Callithrix jacchus: one gene and its partners. The protein of the gene in region 1 purifies or fractionates together with the protein of each later gene. This does not show direct contact. Links are inferred from orthologs where the notes say so. Each region holds a gene or a part of one and is shown in the gene's direction. Other genes may lie near its edges.

Region 1 (6,800 bases):
CTTTGCAGGAAAGCCTAAATATAAACCTTTGCGCATTAACACTATATATTTGTTTCTATGCTGTCACTTACATATTTGAATGTACTGCTTTAAACTTCAAAACAGCAGTCTCCTCAAGGTCTCCCATCACATTCTGAAATCCTAACTTCTATTACCTAATACAAAGCTACAAATTATGTTAGTTGGGTGGTTGGAACAAAGCGTGTGACATAAAAATAAGGTAAATGTGAATATGTACATCAGTTTGCTAATTTTTTTTGCCACTGTCTGGCCTCTTAAAATTGTGGTAGCAGCTATGTTCACACTGATTCATATATATTTGTAGTACAAGGAAGCATTTCTAAAGGACCTTGTTCATTGCTTTGGACAAAATAGCCCATTAATATTTGTTAAATGAATTGCTGGCACTATCTCTGGGATTTTTATTTTTTTAAATCTGTGTATTTATTTTTGACATGAAGCCTTGCTCTGTGGCCCAGGCTGAAGTGCAGTGGTGTGATCTCAGCTCACCGCAACCTCCCGGATTCAAGCAATTCTCGTGCCTCAGCTTCCCTAGTAGTTGGGACTACAGGCATCCACCATCATGCCTGGCTAATTTTTTTTTTTTTTTTTTTTTTGAGATGGAGTTTTGCTTTGTTGCCCAGGCTGGTGTACAGTGGTGCAATCTTGGCTCACTGTAACCTCTGCCTCCCAGGTTCAAGCGATTCTCCTGCCTTAGCCTCCTGAGTAGCTGGGATTACAGGCATGTGCGACCACACCCAGCTAATTTTGTATTTTTAATAGAGATGGGGTTTCTCCCTGTTGATCAGGTTGGTCTCACACTCCCGACCTCAGATGATGTGCCCACCTCTGCCTCCCAAAATGCTGGGATTACGGGTGTGAGCCACCATGCCCAGCCTTTTATTTTCCCATAGAGATGGCGGTTTCACTATTTTGGCCAGGCTGGTCTCAAACTCTTGATCTTAAATGATCTGCCTCCCTTAGCCTCCCAAAGTGCTGGGATTACAGGCATGAGCCACTGTGCCTGGCCTATCTCTGATATTTTTAGTGTGATGTCTAGAACTTCATATGCTTTTTTTGGATTACTTTAATTGTAGGGTTGTATCCAAACTGATGAAATGCTCTCAGAGGTAACTATCTGGAGAAGCAACTTCACTGATGCATTAAAAGCAGCGACTGGCATGGAATAAGGATTAATCCAAAACATTTAAAATTACATTAATGTTATAACAGCCTAAAGCAAAATAAATCACATTAAAAATCCCTCACACTGTTGTCCTTAGTAGTTTACATTGTGCTAGATACTTCTGCATGTATACACATACAACTTTTGTTCTATTTTTAAAGTTTGCGTTACATATAAATTCTTCCATATTGTGTGATCTTCATAAAAATTGTCAGTTCAATGGCTGCATAAAAACCATGCAGTTCATGGAGCATTATGCTGTTCCCTCATTCCACTTTTGTTATTAATGGAATTTAGCAAAGAACATCTTCCGTACTATTATTTGTCAAGAAAAGGTACGGGCACGGGGGTTCACGTCTGTAATCCTAGCACTCTGGGAGGCCGAGTCGGGCGAATTGCTTGAAATCAGGAGTTCGGGACCAGCGTGGCCAACATAGTGAAACCCCCTCCCAACTAAAAAATACAAAAAATTAGCAAGGCATGGTGGTGTGTGCCTGTGGTCCCAGCTACTTGGGAGGCAGAGGCAGGAGAATCTCTTGAACCCCGGAGGCTGAGGTTGCAGTGAGCCGAGATCGCGTCACTGCACTCCAGCTTCGGTGACAGAGACTTCAAGAAACAAAACAAAAAAATTAGTGGAGCGTCGTGGCGCACACTTGTGATCCCAGAGGCTCAGGTGGGAGGATCACTTGAGCCCGGGAAGCCGAGACTTCAGTGAGCCATAATCGCACCAAGGCACTCCAGTCTGGGCGACAGAGGGAGGCCCTGTCTGAAAAAAAAATCCTAGCAGTACAGTTACAAGGTCAAAGGATAAGGTACACATTTAAAAAAAACTTTTCCTCCTGAGATAACGACATAGAATAGTGTATGAACAACTCTTCATACATTACTCTCCAAGGTTTATCTTGTTTTTTTTTTTTTTTTTGAGACGGAGTTTCGCTCTGTTCACCCAGGCTGTAGTGCAATGGCGCGATCTCGGCTCACCGCAACCTCCGCCTCCTGGGTTCAGGCAATTCTCCTGCTTCAGCCTCCTGAGTAGCTGGGATTACAGGCACGCGCCACCGTGCCCAGCTAATTTTTTGTATTTTTAGTAGAGACGGGGTTTCACCATGTTGACCAGGATATGGTCTCGATCTCTTGACCTCGTGATCCACCCGCCTCGGCCTCCCAAAGTGCTGGGATTACAGGCTTGAGCGGTTTATCTTGTTAATCCTTTAAGACGTCAATATCATCTCCCTATCCTTGGCTGCACCTGAAAAGAGCCAGAGTCGGCAGGTAACCCGATCTCCTCCACCAGGTGAGTCCCGGATGGAGGCGTCAACTACAAGATCAGGAGCAGAGCACACCTGGGGCTTTGCTGGAACCCTTGGCGTGGGAATGCAGTCTCTTCCCTTGCCCGGAAGACTCCAAGTTCCCGGCGGGCAGCGGACTCGGTTCTAAATTTGCTCGCCCCAGCCTCTCCGAGCGCCCCGCGCACAGTCGGCCGTGCTTGGACAAAAGCTCTCCCGAAAAGGACCGGACACCAAGTCCCTCCAGGTGCCACAGACCTGCCGCCCCCGCGTCACTTTGCTCCCTGCCCGCTCCCTCCCCGCGTTCCGCGTGGGACCCTCGGCAGCAGCACACGACCTCCCAGACGGCTGGGGTCTGAGCCGAGCTCGCCCCGCCCTCCCCGCGCCCCGGGCACCCTGCGCGCGCCCGCCGGTCCCGCCCCGGCCCTGCTCCGCCCCGCCAGCCCCGCCTCTCGTCTCCTCCCCGCCCCCCGGAGCCGACGAGTGGCGGCGGCGGCCTCAGGTCCCGGGTCCCTCAGACAAGAGGGCGGGTGGAGGAGGAAGCGGCCGAGCCCAAAGTCCTGCTCCGGCGCCGCGGAGCACCGCCCGCCTTAGCCGACCAGCCCCGTCGTCTACTGGGCCTCGCCTAGACAAGAGGAGTGAAAGGCCGCGGCGGCCGTGCGGAGGCGGCGGGGGTGCAGGCAGAGGCGGCGCGGGCTGCCGCGGCTGCCGCTTTGTTGTGCGGCCCGGGCCGAGGAAGAAGTGGGAGGAGGGGGGAGCTCGGCGTCCCGCTCCCTCCGCGGCTCATGGCGACGACGCTCGGCACATCCGGGACCCTCCGGCCGCGGCGGCCGCGGCGCCGGCTGCTCGGGCCCCAGCCCCGGCCGCTGTTGTGACTCCGCCGCGTCTCGCCGTCGCCCCGTCCCTGGTCCCTGTCCCGCCCGCCGCCCCTTCGCCCCCGCCGCCGGGGACATGTCTAACCCCGGAGGCCGGAGGAACGGGCCCGTCAAGCTGCGCCTGACAGGTGAGGGGGGGGCGGCGGGCCGGGTCGGGCAGCGGCGGGGTGGGCGAGCTGGCGGGGGGTGCCTGTGGCCTTGGGAAGGGCCAGGGTCGCGATCAATGGTGAGTTGGGGGTCGGAGGAGTGGGAAGGCCTAGTTCAGGGAGAGTAATAGGAAAACCACTTGCTCCGGTTTGGACATTCTGTAAAAAGCCGAGGATGACTCGGGGTGGCGGGGGGGTGGTCTTTTGTGGAAGGGGGATACACCGGTTCGCGTCGCAGGAGGATTTTAGGTCGAAAGGTCTTGGTCGAGGAGCGGGACGCTGCTTCCCGGGGCTCGTGGGCTGCCGCCCAGGTGGGCTCTTGAAGGGGATGAAGAGCTCCGGTGGCGAGGATTATTGAATCCGGTTGCTGACTGCGCGTAGTAAACACTCCGTAAAGACGGAACGCTTAACGGGAGGGTGTGCGTGTGTGTTCCCGGGTTAACTTGCACACCCACTTATGCCCGCGTGCAAAACCTTTACTCCCCGCCGCCGGCCACCGCTGCTGGGGCCACACACCTTCAACTCACTTCTCTCTGAGGAGAGGAGACTGAGGTTGACTTTTCCGGTGTGCCAGTCTGATCCGATGGCTCGGGCTCATTGTACATTGTGTTTTGGAAGTGTCTGGATTGTAGGTGGCATGTTTGGGGTTGTTCCTTGTAGGCCGCAGAACTTGTGTCCCACTTTTAACTCCAGACCTGCTTTAAAAACACGGTTTTTTGGGGGGCGGGGGAGAGGATACATTTCTAAGTGTGTGCTCATACAAACTTTAGAGCGAACTTGTTCTTACTCTCCACACCCTCCCCCTTTTTTTCTAAATGGAAAGGAATGTCCGGAGGGGTACTACACTTACAAAGTGTTTATAATTTCAGGTGCATGAAATCTTTAACATTACAGGTACGTTTTGCTTACAGTACCATTTTTGGTATTCTTACATGGACATGCCACCCCCATTTTAGGAAAACTTGTATTTGGTTTGAAAAGTAATTGAGATCATGGCGTTATCCTTCCTTCACCATTTACTCCTGATAAATTGTTTACGTTTATATTCAGATGAGTGGCGAGAAAGATAATTTTCCGTAGAGGATTTGTGTGTGCGTGCACGTGTACGAATAAACTGTAATTATGTTTGCCCACACTAGACTTTGAGATTTATTTGAACTAATTTTGTAGTTGAATGCTTCTATGTGTCATCCCAGTCCGCAGGCTGGACTTGCTAGATGAAAACTTGCAGTGAATTTGGTATTTGAGAATTTAGCTTGAATGTATGTTGGCTGTAATTTAAATAATATTTTACCTTCAAGACAGTTTTGCTTTCCCTGGAGAAAATTGGCAGGGAATCATTAACCAAGTGGTTCTTAATGGAAAACCTGGATTGGAAGATACTTGGATTCCCCCTACCCGCCCGCATTCAATGTCCTTATATTGGTAGGAGTCAGTGGAAACCTTTAGGGGGATCTTTGTTGCTTTAGAGTTTTATCTCTTGCTGTTGCTATCTGGCGTCAATGATCGTGGAAAGAACATGTGATCCCAGGTATGCAGAAAACGTCAGAAATAGGCTGTTGCCATTTACTTCTCTCTAGGCTATGTAGAGAAAACTAGGGGAAAAAAATAGGGATTTTGATTTTCTGCAGATAGATGAGTTGAGGTTTTTAATATGACTCAATAGATCTTAAAGTGTTTATCTGTGGTTTCCCCACTGCCTAAGATACATTATAAAAATTTATAAGTGAAGTTTGCTAAGAGGAAAGATTATGCTTATATTTCAGGGGAAGAAGGAATAAATAGTGAAGTACATTTAGAGAGTGATTTTGTTTCAGGTTTTTCTGAGGAATTTTAAATTCGCTGTGTCCTCTTAATAGTAAAAGCAGTTTGAGGTGCTCTGAGTTTCTTACAACTATTTGTCTCTGAATAGTTTTCTCTTAAAATTTGACAAATATTAAAAACATTGTCCTTCCTTCTTTGGTTACAGTGGAGTCTCTTCTGTTTTGCTAGGAAAGTTAACTTTTTTTTTCATTTTTGTTCAGCATTTACAAATTAGATGGTATAGATTTTAGCAAATAGATCTCAAGAGCTGGATTCAATTAGCAGCTTTTTAGGACATAAACATTAAAGGGTTAGATGGAAAAGATTGTTTTGACTGACTGGATAAATGACAGGACTGTGTTTGATGTGCGTCCAGGAATTGGTCTGGAGCTGGTGCCCAACTTCTCAATCCATCTTGAGAAGCCAAATAAAATATTTAACCTAGGCCTCATTTTGTTTAAAAAAAAAAAAGAAGGTTGATTCTTTGTTAAGACCTTAAGAAATGTTTGGCATACCTTTAGCCTAAGTGTTTAGCAGTTCATTTAGATCTGGGTTCCCTAATAGAGGAAAAAAAAATCACTTAAAAGACAGCTCCCTCAGTGAATTTTTATTTGGTTTATAATATGCTTGAGCTATAAGATGTTTTAAAATTATTATTCTTTGCTTTAATATTAGTATTTTAAATTTATAGAGTAACTTTGATTTCAAGATGCTGTATAAACTTTAGTTACTTGGTAATAACCTTATTGTGGAATTGCCCCTTTACTGAAAGGTATAAAACATTTCTTACATGGTGACACACACCCACCCACACTCATGCACGCGTGCACACACAGAGACACACACACACACCCGTACACACACTCTTTTTCTAAAGAAGAGGAAATATTTGAACTATGAGATCTCTGCCCACAATTGGTATTAGACCTTTCCACGTTATTCTTAAAACCACAATCAGTGAACAGTTTGGTATTTGTCAATGCTAAGAAGGTGGGGCTAATTTAATAATTAAATCCCAAATTTTAGATTCCTCAGGGAATTGGGAGTTAGAATCTGATTTCATCCATCAAGTATAATGTGTTCTTTATGACACATTAACATATGATCATTAAAATGGGCTGTATGATAACACTATCTACTTCAACTAATATTTCTAGAACAAATTGATTACAAAATGTATAATTTCTGTATCATTATATGATTATCTGATACAGGCTTTTACAATGGATTGTATAGAAAAATATTCTTTACAGTAAAAACTTTGGGGTAATTTTTTATACTTTTTTTTTTTTTGAGACAGTCTCTCTCCATTGCAGTGGTGCAATCTCAGCTCACTGCAACCTCTGCCTCCTGGGTTCAAGCAATTCTCCTGCCTCAGCCTCTCGAGTAGTTGGGAGAACAGGCTCGCACCACCACACCCAGCTAATTTTTGTATTTTTAGTAGAGACAGGGTTTCACCATGTTGGCCAGGATAGTCTCGATCTCTTGACCTTGTGATCCACCC
Region 2 (6,536 bases), on another chromosome or scaffold:
TTTGAAGCTGGCCTAGTGCCACCTGCAACAGAATTAACTATGATGTCTATTACAAATGCAGATTCCTGAACCTTCTCCAGAAGAACTGAAGCAGAATTGCTAAGACCCAGTGAGACCCAAGAATCTGCATTATTAAAAGCTCTCCAGGTAATTTGGAGACACTTTACAATTTGGGAACCATGATTTTAAACTATTAATTTAGTGTTCCATTCTAGTGTAGTTTATTTATGGATCTGTTGTTCATGGAAATTTCCTCCTAGTATCAGGATGTTAAAATTTAAAAACCGGTCTGTTTTTCCTTTCTGTTGAATCTACTCAATTCCATGGAAAATGTTAAGGAACTGGAGGTGTGATTAACACTGATTAATCTAGGCTCTGTACGTCAAGGGCACAGACTAACATGAACACACATGCTGATTAGAATCATACGGAGCTGGAAGGGGATGGGCAAAGAAATGGCATTAACTAAATATTTACTATGTTCCAGACACTGTACCAGACACATTACATCATCTAAGGAGCCCAAGACAAGTGATTCAATCCCTTTCATTTATAAACGGGGTAGGTACTATTATTATTTACATTTTAGAGATGAGGAAGCTAAAGGCCAAAGAAAAACAGTCACTTTGAGATCATTCATTCATTCACACAATCAAAATCTCATTAGCTCTTATCTTATGCAAGACATTGCAAATAGAGCAGCAAAAAGGCAATCTAGAGACCTCTTGGCACAAAGCCCACCAAGTCTCCATTGAAGAAACTGGAACCGAGAGGGCAAATTGGGACTGGAGCCTGCCAGAAACCGTCTTTCTGGAATCCTTCAGTCTGAACAAGAGGGGAGTTCGCTGCTGAGGCTGCTGGCGCTGCAGTCTAGAGCAAGTTGCAGGCCTCTGAGCCTGCTGGAGACTCTGAAAGGTTAGCTGACTTTGCCGAAGTAGTGTCCCAGCCAGGAGGGAGAAAGCACGCAGGTCTCAGATCCCAGCTCCAATATCCACGTCCTTTCCCTTTTCATCTCCAGGAAGGAAACCTTCACAGGTGGGGAAAATGCTCACCCAGTGACTCTGAAGTAGTGCACAAGTTGACATTAGAGGCTGGTTCTGATTCCTGCTATCAAGGTTTATTTAATTCCAAGCTCAAATGACACAGGAAATAAAACTTTCTCCTTAAAAGGTTCTGAGGGAAAATATTCTCTGTTCTACGTAACAGCCTCCTTGGCTGTGTTTGTGTCTGAAGAAAGGACTAGTCTGACAGGAAGAATTACAAATCTGGAGCTCATTTTGGCGTCGCGGAGGAAAGGTGGGTGGAGCGTCTCGCAGTAAATTAGGAATTCGGAATGAAAACGTAGTTTATTTGGGTTTTTAGTGACACCTCAGGATTATTATACAGGAGTGTCAGACACAGCTCAAAGTAATGACTGCTCCCCCTCCACCCCGCGGGAGCTGGGTTCTAAGAAGGGGGAACCCCTCCTTTGAGGGGTTGGGGTGGGGACCCTCCCTTTCCAACCTGGATCAGGAAGGGGGATGAGGCGAGAGCGGCTTGGATCCCCATCCTGTGCCTGTTCCGGAGTGAGGCGGGAGGCTATTTGGGGGTGTGTTTGGGGTCAGGATCTGGGTCTGAGGCTGGGATCTGAGGACTTCCTAGGTTTGGAATTGGGTGGGGGAGCTAGGTTCGGGATGACCGCTCCAAGCATGAGGAAACAGGAGACTGAGTCGCATGTGAAGGGCGCGGAGGAAAGATCTTCGGGGGAATGCTGAAGTTGATGCGTGGACTTGGAGAGGGGAAGTTGAAGTGCATGCAGGGCCTGGCGCTGCAGCGGATCTGAGTGGCCTATGCAGGGATTGCCGGTGCGGAGCAGTGAATGGGGTCAGCGTGGGGCTGAAGCAGTACGAGATCTTCCGCGCCTAGAGGAGGTTAGAAGAAAAGAGAGTCGAGCGGCCACAGCCTTTTCCCGAAAGCGACTCACACAGACACACCCTTCGCTCTACCCGGCCCTCCGGGGCTAGCGGCTCGGCGGCGCTGGGTCTGGCCGATCCCGCCCCCACACCGCCTCGCGGAGCCGGGAGCAGCTCTGGCCGGGGCAGGGGTCTGGCGGCCCGTCCCCCGGGGAGCGTGGGGCGTGGCCAGAGGCCGGGGCGCGCGGCTCCGGATTGGCTGCCCGGTGGGCCCGCGGGCGGGGCTCGTGGCTGGGTCCCGCTCGGCCGCTCGCGGCGGCGGGGAGGCGGGGCCGGCGGGAGCCCGGCAGCCAATGGACGCACGTCCCCCGAGCAGTTACAAAGGGCCGAAGCGGGGCCGCCGCGGCGGCGGGGGAGGTGGGGCGAGGCGAGGTTTGCTGGGGTGAGGCGGCGGCCGGGCCGGGCCGGGCCACAGGCGGTGGCGGCGGGACCATGGAGGCGGCGGCCGCTGCTCCGCGTCCCCGACTGCTCCTCCTTGTGCTGGCGGCGGCAGCGGCGGCGGCGGCGCTGCTGCTCCCGGGGGCGACGGGTGAGCGGCAGCGCGGCGCGGCGGGCGGGCGGGCGACTGCGGGGCGCGCGGGCCGGGCCCGGCCTCCGGCTCGCTACTGCTCTTTCTCAAACATGGCGCGGGGCCGGGGGCGCAGGTGGCAGCGCCGGGGCCCGGACCGGGCTCTCGTGGCCCCAACCGGGCTCTCGTGGCCCCGAGCGGCTCGGTGGCAGCCGGGCGAACCGCAAGCGGGGAGCGGAGGCGGGGCAGGGGCGTGTGTCCGGGCACGGGTGAACGTGCCGGGCAGCCTGAGGCCGTCCGGCTCGGGACTCCCCCGGGGAGGTGGAGTCGGACGGAGTCGTCCGAGGGCCGGGGCTGCCCTGTGGGGTGTGCGTGGGTTAGGGCCAGGGGCGGAGGATGCGAGACGGGCGGGGACTGGCAGAGCGGTGGCTGCCGACCGCCGCCGCCCCCCAGGGAACGGCGTGGTCTTGGGGTCCCGGGCGGGTTTTGGGGTTGGGGGGAAGGCGGCTCCCGGGCGGGGTGTGAGCTCCGAGCCGCGAGGGCTTCCCGGGGTGGGAGTCGGGGGTCGACATGTGGTGAGACCCCCGGGTCTGCAAGCTGCCCTGACTCCCGCCCGGCCCGACCCTGCTGGAAGGGTCTGCTCCTTCAGCCAAGGGGGCTTTGTGTGAGAAGAAGGAAGCGTGGAGATGCGCGGAGTATTCCTTCTTTCGTGCGCCTGAGGAGTGTTGAAGTGAGTCCAGTAACCAGAAGGCTACGGATTGTTTTCGTAGTGGAAACTTGAACGTTTGCTCACTCTACAGGGTTTGGAAATTTGGGGAATGACTGTGAATTGATTCAACGCTTTTATTTCCTAGAAGGAACATCACTTGCGATGTTCCTTTTCTTGAGTGACAGTTAATAGTTTGAATGATACATCTGGTAGCTGGTTTTCAAGGAAGAATGTTCGCTGAGTTTTTCCAAGTATTAAATCAGGTCGGGGTAGGTGGTTGGCATCCACAAAGTGATGAGTGGAAAACTTTGTTAGCAGCTGAATTAAGACAGTAGAAACTAAAATCAGAGCCTCAGTCTTAGCAACTAAAATGCAGTGAAATTACATTTCTGTTTCTGAAACTGTACAAAAATGTTGAAAATTCTTTTAAAAATCAAGACTGAAGATGATGATTATAATTAGTCCTAATAGCCTCCGTCTATGTATTATGCATTACTATGATGTAAATGCATAAAGTACACTATTGGATACGTACATTATTTAATCACCACAACCAAACTCTCAGGACTTGTGGCATTTGCCCCACTTTAAAGATTTGAAAAGTGGGGTGCAGACCCCTGGGTCTGCTTAAGTATGCAGTCACTAAGTGCTAAAGCTAGAATTTTCACTCAGATCTCAGTTTCCAAAACCTGTACACACATATATATATAAATATGTATATACACACGCAAACATGTATACATCATACTACCTGGCATAGCCCATTTTTCTTCATCTGATGAGCAACTGGTCTTTATTATTCACTTTTAGATTCTGTCCTCATGATATGAATGTCAGATAGGCTTCATTCTGACTCTTAGCACATTCCTGAGTCCCTTCACGTGGGCCTGCATTAGAGGAAACAATGGATTTTTGACATTGGCCTAGGGAGGAAGGCAAGATAACTGTGTGGACAGATTGGGAGAATCAATATAGTTAGGGGGAAACATAGGTAACATTTCCACACCACTATTAACTTGAATAACATAGTGCCCTCTTTTCCACCAGAAGTAGCACAGGAAGTGTTCATGTATTCAAGTAACAGTAGGTGGACTTAGTTGGATACACAGAACATTGCTCAGTCCATGTCCTGGGGGAGTTTACAGTCTCTGTGGCATGTACACAGTACAAAGCTGTCCAGGTGCATATTACTCTAAGCCCAGACTGCCTCAGCTTCTCTGCCTTTCTTATTGGTTATGATGATGTCTCAGTCCACCCTTAAAATAACATTCTGAAAAAGGTCAAATGCTTTTTTTTCTCTCTGTAATTTTACTTCCCTTTTAAAAAGAGTGCAGTTTCTTATTTTCTGAGTATGTTTTATTGTTCTCTGCCCAACTTCTCTCCCCAACATAGATTTCTCTAGGAAAATTGATTCCTTGTCGCTAGTACACGGTTTAGTACCACTGTGTCTATATGAATATCCCTTGTGAGAATGCTGTTTGCTTCCTTTCTGCCATTTCATAACATTTTTTCTTTGGAAACATGCTCTAAATCCAACTCTTGTTTCTATTAATGCCTCTTGAATGTCTCCTCCTTTCTTGGTATGCAGCCTTCAGCTTAATCCTGCCTGTTATCCTCCAAATCTAGTTGCTTTCCCATGTTTCTCTCTTCTAAGCTTTTCTATGGGCTACTGCCAAACTAATCTTCCTCAGCCATCCCCATAAAGGTTTATATGATTTCCCATTTGTATTCAGCACTTAGAGAAACACTTCAGCAGCTTATGATTGGGGCCATCTCTGAGTATCCTACCAGGAATCTCACTTCTCATTACTGCAGACCTTCAAGCAATTTCTATTTCTCACTGACTCCTGACTGTTCAGCTTTTCACTACACATTTAATTTTGCCCCTTTTTTGGGAGTGTAAGAAGTTCTCAGTCCTGACTTCCTGTACTGGTTTAGTTCTTGAATTCTTTGTCTTCCAGAACTCTGCAACACTTACAGTTTGTGTTGTCCATTTCTACTGTCTGCACTGCAATTTAACTACACTTGAATATGTTGTAGATACCTAGAGGACGAGATTCATGCCATTTCTTTGCTTTATGGCCTCAGAACTTAGCACTGTGTTTTATATTCTATTCCACATAGATGCTTGTTGATTTCTATTTGAGCATTCCTTTAGTATTTATACTGTTTTATCTAAGTCCAGTTTATGCAATATTAACTTATAATTCTGTATAAATAATCAGGAAATATTGTGTGGTGTGGTGAAGGCAAGTGGTTATTAGTCCCACCTTCACCACCAGTTATGCAGAAAATAGGGGCAATACCTGCTTTTGCCTAATTCATGAGATTGTGAAGATCACATGAGAAAGTGGTATTTGAGTTTGAGGTTGCTATTCTGTATTGTTACTAATGATCAGGACTGATATTCAACAAGCAGTTCCCACTGGGCCATGTGTTTTTTGGTTAAACATCCTTTCTGGTTGGTTGGTACCCTTGTAGTGCCAGTTGTTAAATATTTTTAATGTCATCCCTGTAGGGAGGCATTAGTATTCAAAAAGGGAGATGATTAGTGTAGGCTGGAGTGATTGGGGGAGGCTTTCTGGACAGTTTAGGACTTAAGCTGACTTTGAAGGGTGGGTACAATTCAGAGGGGGATTTGATGAGTATGAAAGTTCTCTAAAAGTGTGTCTCCAACTGTACTGGGGCCCCCACTCCAAGGGAGGAAACAAAGCTTTTACTGACTGGCAAGTTACTCTTCAAAGTTAGGTTCCTTATTCTTTACTGTGGGATTTGGATGTATTAACCTCTATCATTTTTCCCCCCAATCCTAAAGGCTATAGTACATGGCTGGAAACAAAGCATAAAAGTAATCAAAGTGGAGTAAATGAGAGAGAATAACATTATAGGATGCCCACTAGGGCTAGGCATTCAGCTGGTGAAAGTCCTAAGTATATTGTCACTTCAATTTACAGATGAAAAAACTCAGATTAGGTGAATTTCTTAGGGTGACAAAGGGCAGAACAGAGACAGGAACTTTGATTTTCTGATTCCAAATCTTGTGCCCTATATTCTGCTTTAAAATGTGAAGGACATGGAGGTGGGCGTGGGACGAGGTTAATGGAGTGACTTACCTAAGTGAAATAGGCCTTGCACTTCACACAATTTATGAAAAGTGAATTCTAAAGGTAGAAGGGAAGGGGAGTGATTAAAGGCTAAAAGTCCTCAAGGGAAAGGTCAGGATTCTTTTTTTTTAATTGCTGATAAAAGGACCTGGTATAATACTGACTGAGAAACATAGGCCTATAGTAGTTTGGAAGGTAGTCTTGGATAAGTACTGTTAATTGAATTGGGTGTAATTAAAAGGCCTTGGTTTAGAATAATAGAT
Region 3 (6,076 bases), on another chromosome or scaffold:
CTTTAAAAAACAGCTGTATTGAGATATAATTCCCATACCATAAAATTCACTATTTCAAAGTGTACATTTCAGTAGTTTTTACTATAGTCAGTTGTGCAGACATCAGCATTATCAATTTTTAGGACTTTTTCATTATAACAAAGAAACATCATACTCTTTAGAAGTCATTTCTCATACCCCTTCCTGCCAGGCCCTGGCAACCACTGATTTACTTTCTATCTCTGTGAATTTGCCTATTTTGTATATTTCATATAAATGGGATTTTATAATGTGTGACCTTTGTGACTGACTTCTTTCACTTAGCATGTGTTTTTGAGGTTTATCCATGTTGTAACATGTATTAGTACTTTTATTTTTTATGGTTGAATAATATTTCATTGTGTGGAATTTTATTTGTACATTCATCAGTTGATGGACATTTGAGTTGTATCTATTATGAACAGTGTTGCAGTGAACATTCGTGTACAGGTTTGTGTGGACATAGGTTTTCATTTTTCTCAAGTAGAATTGTGAAGAGGGGAATTGCTGGGTCATATCGTAACTGTGTTTAACATTTTGTGTTAATACCAGCCTGTTTTCCAAAGTACCTGTGCCATTTGTAATACCAGCAGCAGTGAATGAGGGTCCAATTTCTCGCTTCTTCAATACTTATTATTGTCTCTTTGATTTACCCATCTCAGTAGGTATGAAGTGGTAGAGCTACTTGTGGTTTTGGTTTTCATTTTTATAATGACTAATGTTGAGCTTTCATGTGCTTATTGGCCATTATCTTTGGAGAAATGTCTTGTAGAATAAAAGAGATCCTTTTTTTATTGGTCTCTTTTAACAAAGGTCAGTGTTAACTGCTAGGTAGCATTTCATACCAGGCGATGGTAATTTTTCATAAATATTAGTAATAGACTTTTAGGTTTAGCTGATTGTTAATCAAGACTATTTTAAAGTGCTAATCCTCATAAGTAATCCTTTAAAAAAAGTCCTGGTAAGATTTCCCTTTAGGGTGACCAGTACAGTCAGCAAGACTCAATTGAGCGTCTCACTATTATAATGAGGAGACCTAATTTTAATATTTTTGGAATGTCAAAAACAGTGACATTTTGATTAATTTTATTTTTAAAAATTATTTTTGATGGTTAACATTTTATAAGAATTTTAAGTAATGTTCAACTCTGAGCATCAAATTTTAATTATGTGCGTTGAATCTCTGACTTAACCAGAACAATTTCATCTTTTTCCAAGTATATCTAAATCTACTTTGTGAAATATGTTCTGATGTGTGTCTTTTTTTTTCTTTTTTAGGTTATCTTGAATACATGTGCAACAGTTTTACTTGCAACGTTACCTGTTGTTTTATACTGCTTCCAAAAGATCAAAATTGTTCTGGAAATTGGAGACATTTGATTTAAAAGGAAAAACTTGAACAAATGGACAATATGTCTATTACGAATACACCAACTAGTAATGATGCCTGTCTGAGCATTGTGCATAGTTTGATGTGCCATAGACAAGGTGGAGAGAGTGAAACATTTGCAAAAAGAGCAATTGAAAGTTTGGTAAAGAAGCTGAAGGAAAAAAAAGATGAATTGGATTCTTTAATAACAGCCATAACTACAAATGGAGCTCATCCTAGTAAATGTGTTACCATACAGAGAACATTGGATGGGAGACTTCAGGTTAGTCTTATAAGAATTTTTCTATACCCTCTATGGTGGCAGGTTAAAAAACTTGCTAAATTTCCTTTCAAGCTTCTATAGGGTAATTTAATGCATGCTTCATCTCTTCAGATACTGTCATCCAGTACAAATATGCATTATGGGAATATGTGGAAGAATATGCAAAAGATAAAATTTTAAAGTTTTTTATGTTCTGACTCAGAAAAATGTTCAGTGGAGAAAATTTGGAAAATAAAAAGAAGAAAACCCACATTTTGCAGGAACTTCCGTTAGCCCTTTGGTATTCATTTTTGTAGTCTGTTGTTTTCTTTTTCTTTCTTTTTCCGAGGCAGAGTCTTACTCTGTCACCCAGGCTGGGATGCAGTGGTGCAGTCTTGGCTCACTGCAGCCTCCGCCTCCCAGGTTCAAGCAGTCCTTCTGCCTCAGCCTCCTAACTAGCTGGAACTACAGGTGAGTGCCACCATGCCCAGCTAATTTTTGTATTTTTAGTAGAGATGGGATTTCACTATGTTGGTCAGGCTGGTCTCAAACTCCTAACCTCAGGTGTTCCACCCACCTTGGCCTCCCAAAGTGCTGGGATTACAGGTGCAAGCCACTGTGCCCGGCCATGTTTTCTTTTTTGATATTGTATGTACATTTAAACAACTGGTGGATTATACTTAGTCCTTTTATAATTTAGAAATCTGGTATGTTTCACTGATATCAAATGTTTCATTGGTCACGTTTTTCATGTAGAACTTTGTAATACGTCTCCCTTGCTCAAGTAAATCTCATAGAAATTTTATGTCTTAGATTTTAAAGTTTTATTTCTAGACTTTAGTTTCTACAACACAGTCTTTTTGCATATTTATTTGTTTATTTTATTTTCTTTCTTTGAGACATGGTCTCAGTCTTGCCCATGCAGTGGTGCGAACATGGCTCACTACAGCCTTGACCTACTGGGCTTATTCAGTTCTCCTGCTTTAGCCTCCTGAGTAGCTACGACTACAGGCACACACCACCATGTCTGGTTGATTTTTTATTTTTTGTGGAAACAAGGTCTTGCCATGTTGTCCAGGTTGGTCTTGAATTCCTAGGTTCAAGAGATCCTCCCTTGGCCTCCCAAAGTACAGGTGTGAGCGACCAGGCCCACCCACTTTTTGCATTTTTAAAACCTGAGCACAGGCCTTGAAATTATACCAGCGTTTAAATTCTAGGTCTGAAGTATGACATGGCCAAGTTAGTTATTTTGAATTTTAGTGTTCTCGTTTATGAAATGGGGATTGTAATACTGACTTGGTAGGATTGTGAGGTTTAAATCAGAATATATGTAAAGTGTCTTGCATAATGTGACACACGAATAAATGGTTGTTTATTTTTCTAGGTGGCTGGCCGGAAAGGATTTCCTCATGTGATCTATGCCCGTCTCTGGAGGTGGCCTGATCTTCACAAAAATGAACTAAAACATGTTAAATATTGTCAGTATGCGTTTGACTTAAAATGTGATAGTGTCTGTGTGAATCCATATCACTATGAACGAGTTGTATCACCTGGAATTGGTAAGTAGACTTTTGCTTTTATCCTTAGAAACATAAAGGAAAAATGATGTCAGTAATGCTTTAATTTTTGTGAGTTAAATTATAAATTTCGAAGATAGCCCAGGATTTTAAATAAGGTTAAAGAATGAGATATTTTTAATATAAATATTTAAATTTGAACTCAGGAACAAACATTTTGACTACTAAAACCAAGTATTATCGTTGACATTTTGCCCATGTAAAACATTGTTTTTGAGAAATAAGATGGAAAGCATTATAAGTTTGAATACTTAGTGTATGTATTGTTAGTTAGCGTTTATGCTACTTCTGAATTGAAATGGTTCATGAACTTTTGTAATCTCTGGCTTAAATTTACATTCTCTGTTTTTAAATGGAAAATATTTTCATTGTAATGATTAATGTTTTATTTTTTTCCCCTCTTTAAACAATTAAGATCTCTCAGGATTAACACTGCAGAGTAATGGTAGGTAATCTGTTTCTTATCACATTCTCTTTCCTGTGTTTTATCCTCTCTGTTTTTTTGTTGACCTAGAATTAATTAGTTTGTGTGGGCGGCAGTAACCTTAACAAGAAAATAACTTACTGCTTTGGAAATTTAGATTGAGGGGGCGTGTCGGTGTTTAAAACTGGATTTAAATTGGCTATTTGCTCTTTGTATTTGAACTGCAATTTATGAGTTAAAGTACTGTAAAAAATATGATAAGGGAATGAACCAAAAACAAATACAAAGGCTGCTTTTCAAGTTAAGCACTGTTTTTGAAGAAAATCTCACAGAGTCAGTTTAAATGGATGTTAAGTTCCCAGAATGTTTGGTAATTTGGAATCACATATAACATATCCAGTAAAAATACCAGTATTCTAATGTTTCTTCATTTCAGTCTAATTTATTTTTATATAATGTTGAGAATGGTTTAAAATTGCACTCGTTTGTGTTTTTTCAGTCTTGTTACATTTTGAGTAAATAAATCAAGGCTACTTTAAAGCATATGCCCATCACAGCTTACCTTACTGAAAAAGTGTTTTAAGGTGAGAAAATGAAACACCAGTGGGGGTGTAGGTGTTTTTTAGTGTAATATTTGAGAATGGAGTTTTATTAAATCTTTAGGTCTGTTACTTAGAACTTACTAAAATTTCTGTCAGAACTAATTAATTTGCAGAGAAACTCTTATAAAGAACCACTGTGAGCCAGGTGCAGTGGTTCATGTCTGTAATCCCAGAACTTTGGGAGGCTGAGGCTGGTGGATCATGTGAGGTCAGGAGTTCAAAACCAGCGTGGCCAACATGGTGAAACGCTGTCTCTACTAAAAATATAAAAAATTAGTCAGGTGGGTGCCTGTAATCCCACCTACTCAGGAGACTGAGGCAAGTGAATCACTTGAACCCGGGAGTTGGAGGTTGCAGTGAGCTGAGATCATGCCATTGCCTGGGCAACAATAGCACAACTCCATCTCAAAAAAAAGGACCCAATGTCATATTAGAAAGGTGTGCTATTGTTCTGGAGGGAAATGAGTAGTAACTTGGGACCTTTTTTGTTTGCAGAATTTTAGAGATGGGTCAGAAATACTAGGTGACGTTAACCAAAATTTAGGAAGAGTTTGCAAGTCTTCTTGTTTTTATTTTCCATCTTTCTCCCATATCACTAATGGAGGAAGGAAGACTTAGTGCCTTGTGGTGCTTGTTAGTGATTAGTAGGTTTCTGAGAAGTGTGCATTTATTATTAGGAGCTGTTGTGGTGGTCTGGGAAGGGTTGCTTTAAGATTGGTTAAAGCTCTGCCTCTTTGCCATGCAGACATTGAAAATCATATAACTTCTTCTTCTTTTTTTTTTTTTTTTAAGTAAATACCCTTCATATCTTTTAAAGTGTTTTTTAAAGTAAACACACTTCATATCTTCATTTTCCATCCATGGTTTTGGAGAATTAAAACATTTGGCTCAGTAGGTATTAAAGATTGGGAGACTGCAATGATATGTCTATCTGAATCTCTCTATGGGGCTGTTTGTGAGGGGGTTCAAATTCTGAATGCTTATCACACACCTCCCCTATCCTGAAATTATTGATGCATTGTTATCAATGGGATTGCATGGGTCGATAGCCTTTCTTTAATGACTATAGAACTGTATTCAGCCTTGTAGAGCCCCCTAGTGGTGGTTTTGTAAAGGGTGTCTTCAGTGCCTTATTTCCTCAGAAAACAAGGGGTATTTCTCACAGCTCCTTCTAGATTTTAACAAAGGAATAATACAAGACCAGTTAACTAAAAAGTTAAGAAAATGGGACATTTCCTTCATTTTTGAGTTAAAGTCTTGTGGTAATCATTTACAGCCTGCCTTTTATCTTTCATGAAACTTTCTATGACCAAGTTGACCTGTGTATTCATTTTAACAAATATTTAATGAGCATGTATTGCTTGGTACTAGGTTCCAGGGATGCTAAGATAATAAGGTATGTCTTGTCTACTTAAGTGAGCTTATAGTCTAGTGGAGGAGAAAAAAAGTAAGTAAGAGGGTGATAATACCATCAGACAGGTGCTATATCCTGCCTGCTGGTGATGATAAAGAATACAGATGTAGAGTGGGCCCAGTGGTTTCAGCTTCTTTGTCACCTATAGAGAGTATATTATTTGACCTTCTTAGAACTTTTTTTTTTTTGAGACAGAGTTTCGCTCTTGTTGCCCAGGTTGGAATGCAGTGGCACAATCTTAGCTCTCTGCAACTTCCACCTCCTGGGTTCAAGCGATTCTCCTGCCTCAGCTTCCCGAGTAGCTGGGATTACAGGTGCTCACCACCACACCCAGCTAAAATTTTTTTTTGTAGTTTTAGTAGAGTTGGGGTTTCACCATGTTGTCCAGGCTGGTCTTGAACTATTGACCT

What was found.
Region 2: the proteins of SMURF2 (region 1) and TGFBR1 purify together in Homo sapiens (affinity purification with western blotting; 8 studies listed by BioGRID). This does not show direct contact. The link is inferred for Callithrix jacchus from reciprocal best matches to the Homo sapiens genes SMURF2 and TGFBR1.
Region 3: the proteins of SMURF2 (region 1) and SMAD4 purify together in Homo sapiens (affinity purification with western blotting; 3 studies listed by BioGRID). This does not show direct contact. The link is inferred for Callithrix jacchus from reciprocal best matches to the Homo sapiens genes SMURF2 and SMAD4.

Annotation. Positions count from the first base shown.
Region 1 is NC_133506.1:89,930,647-89,937,446, reverse strand, and holds the start of SMURF2 (E3 ubiquitin-protein ligase SMURF2), read left to right. Parts: upstream 1-2,988; 5' UTR 2,989-3,423; coding exon 3,424-3,475; intron 3,476-6,800. UniProt on the Homo sapiens protein: E3 ubiquitin-protein ligase which accepts ubiquitin from an E2 ubiquitin-conjugating enzyme in the form of a thioester and then directly transfers the ubiquitin to targeted substrates.
Region 2 is NC_133502.1:147,221,552-147,228,087, forward strand, and holds the start of TGFBR1 (TGF-beta receptor type-1), read left to right. Parts: upstream 1-2,296; 5' UTR 2,297-2,384; coding exon 2,385-2,481; intron 2,482-6,536. UniProt on the Homo sapiens protein: Transmembrane serine/threonine kinase forming with the TGF-beta type II serine/threonine kinase receptor, TGFBR2, the non-promiscuous receptor for the TGF-beta cytokines TGFB1, TGFB2 and TGFB3.
Region 3 is NC_133514.1:94,274,344-94,280,419, forward strand, and holds part of SMAD4 (mothers against decapentaplegic homolog 4), read left to right. Parts: intron 1-1,296; 5' UTR 1,297-1,421; coding exon 1,422-1,670; intron 1,671-3,033; coding exon 3,034-3,208; intron 3,209-3,641; coding exon 3,642-3,671; intron 3,672-6,076. UniProt on the Homo sapiens protein: In muscle physiology, plays a central role in the balance between atrophy and hypertrophy. When recruited by MSTN, promotes atrophy response via phosphorylated SMAD2/4.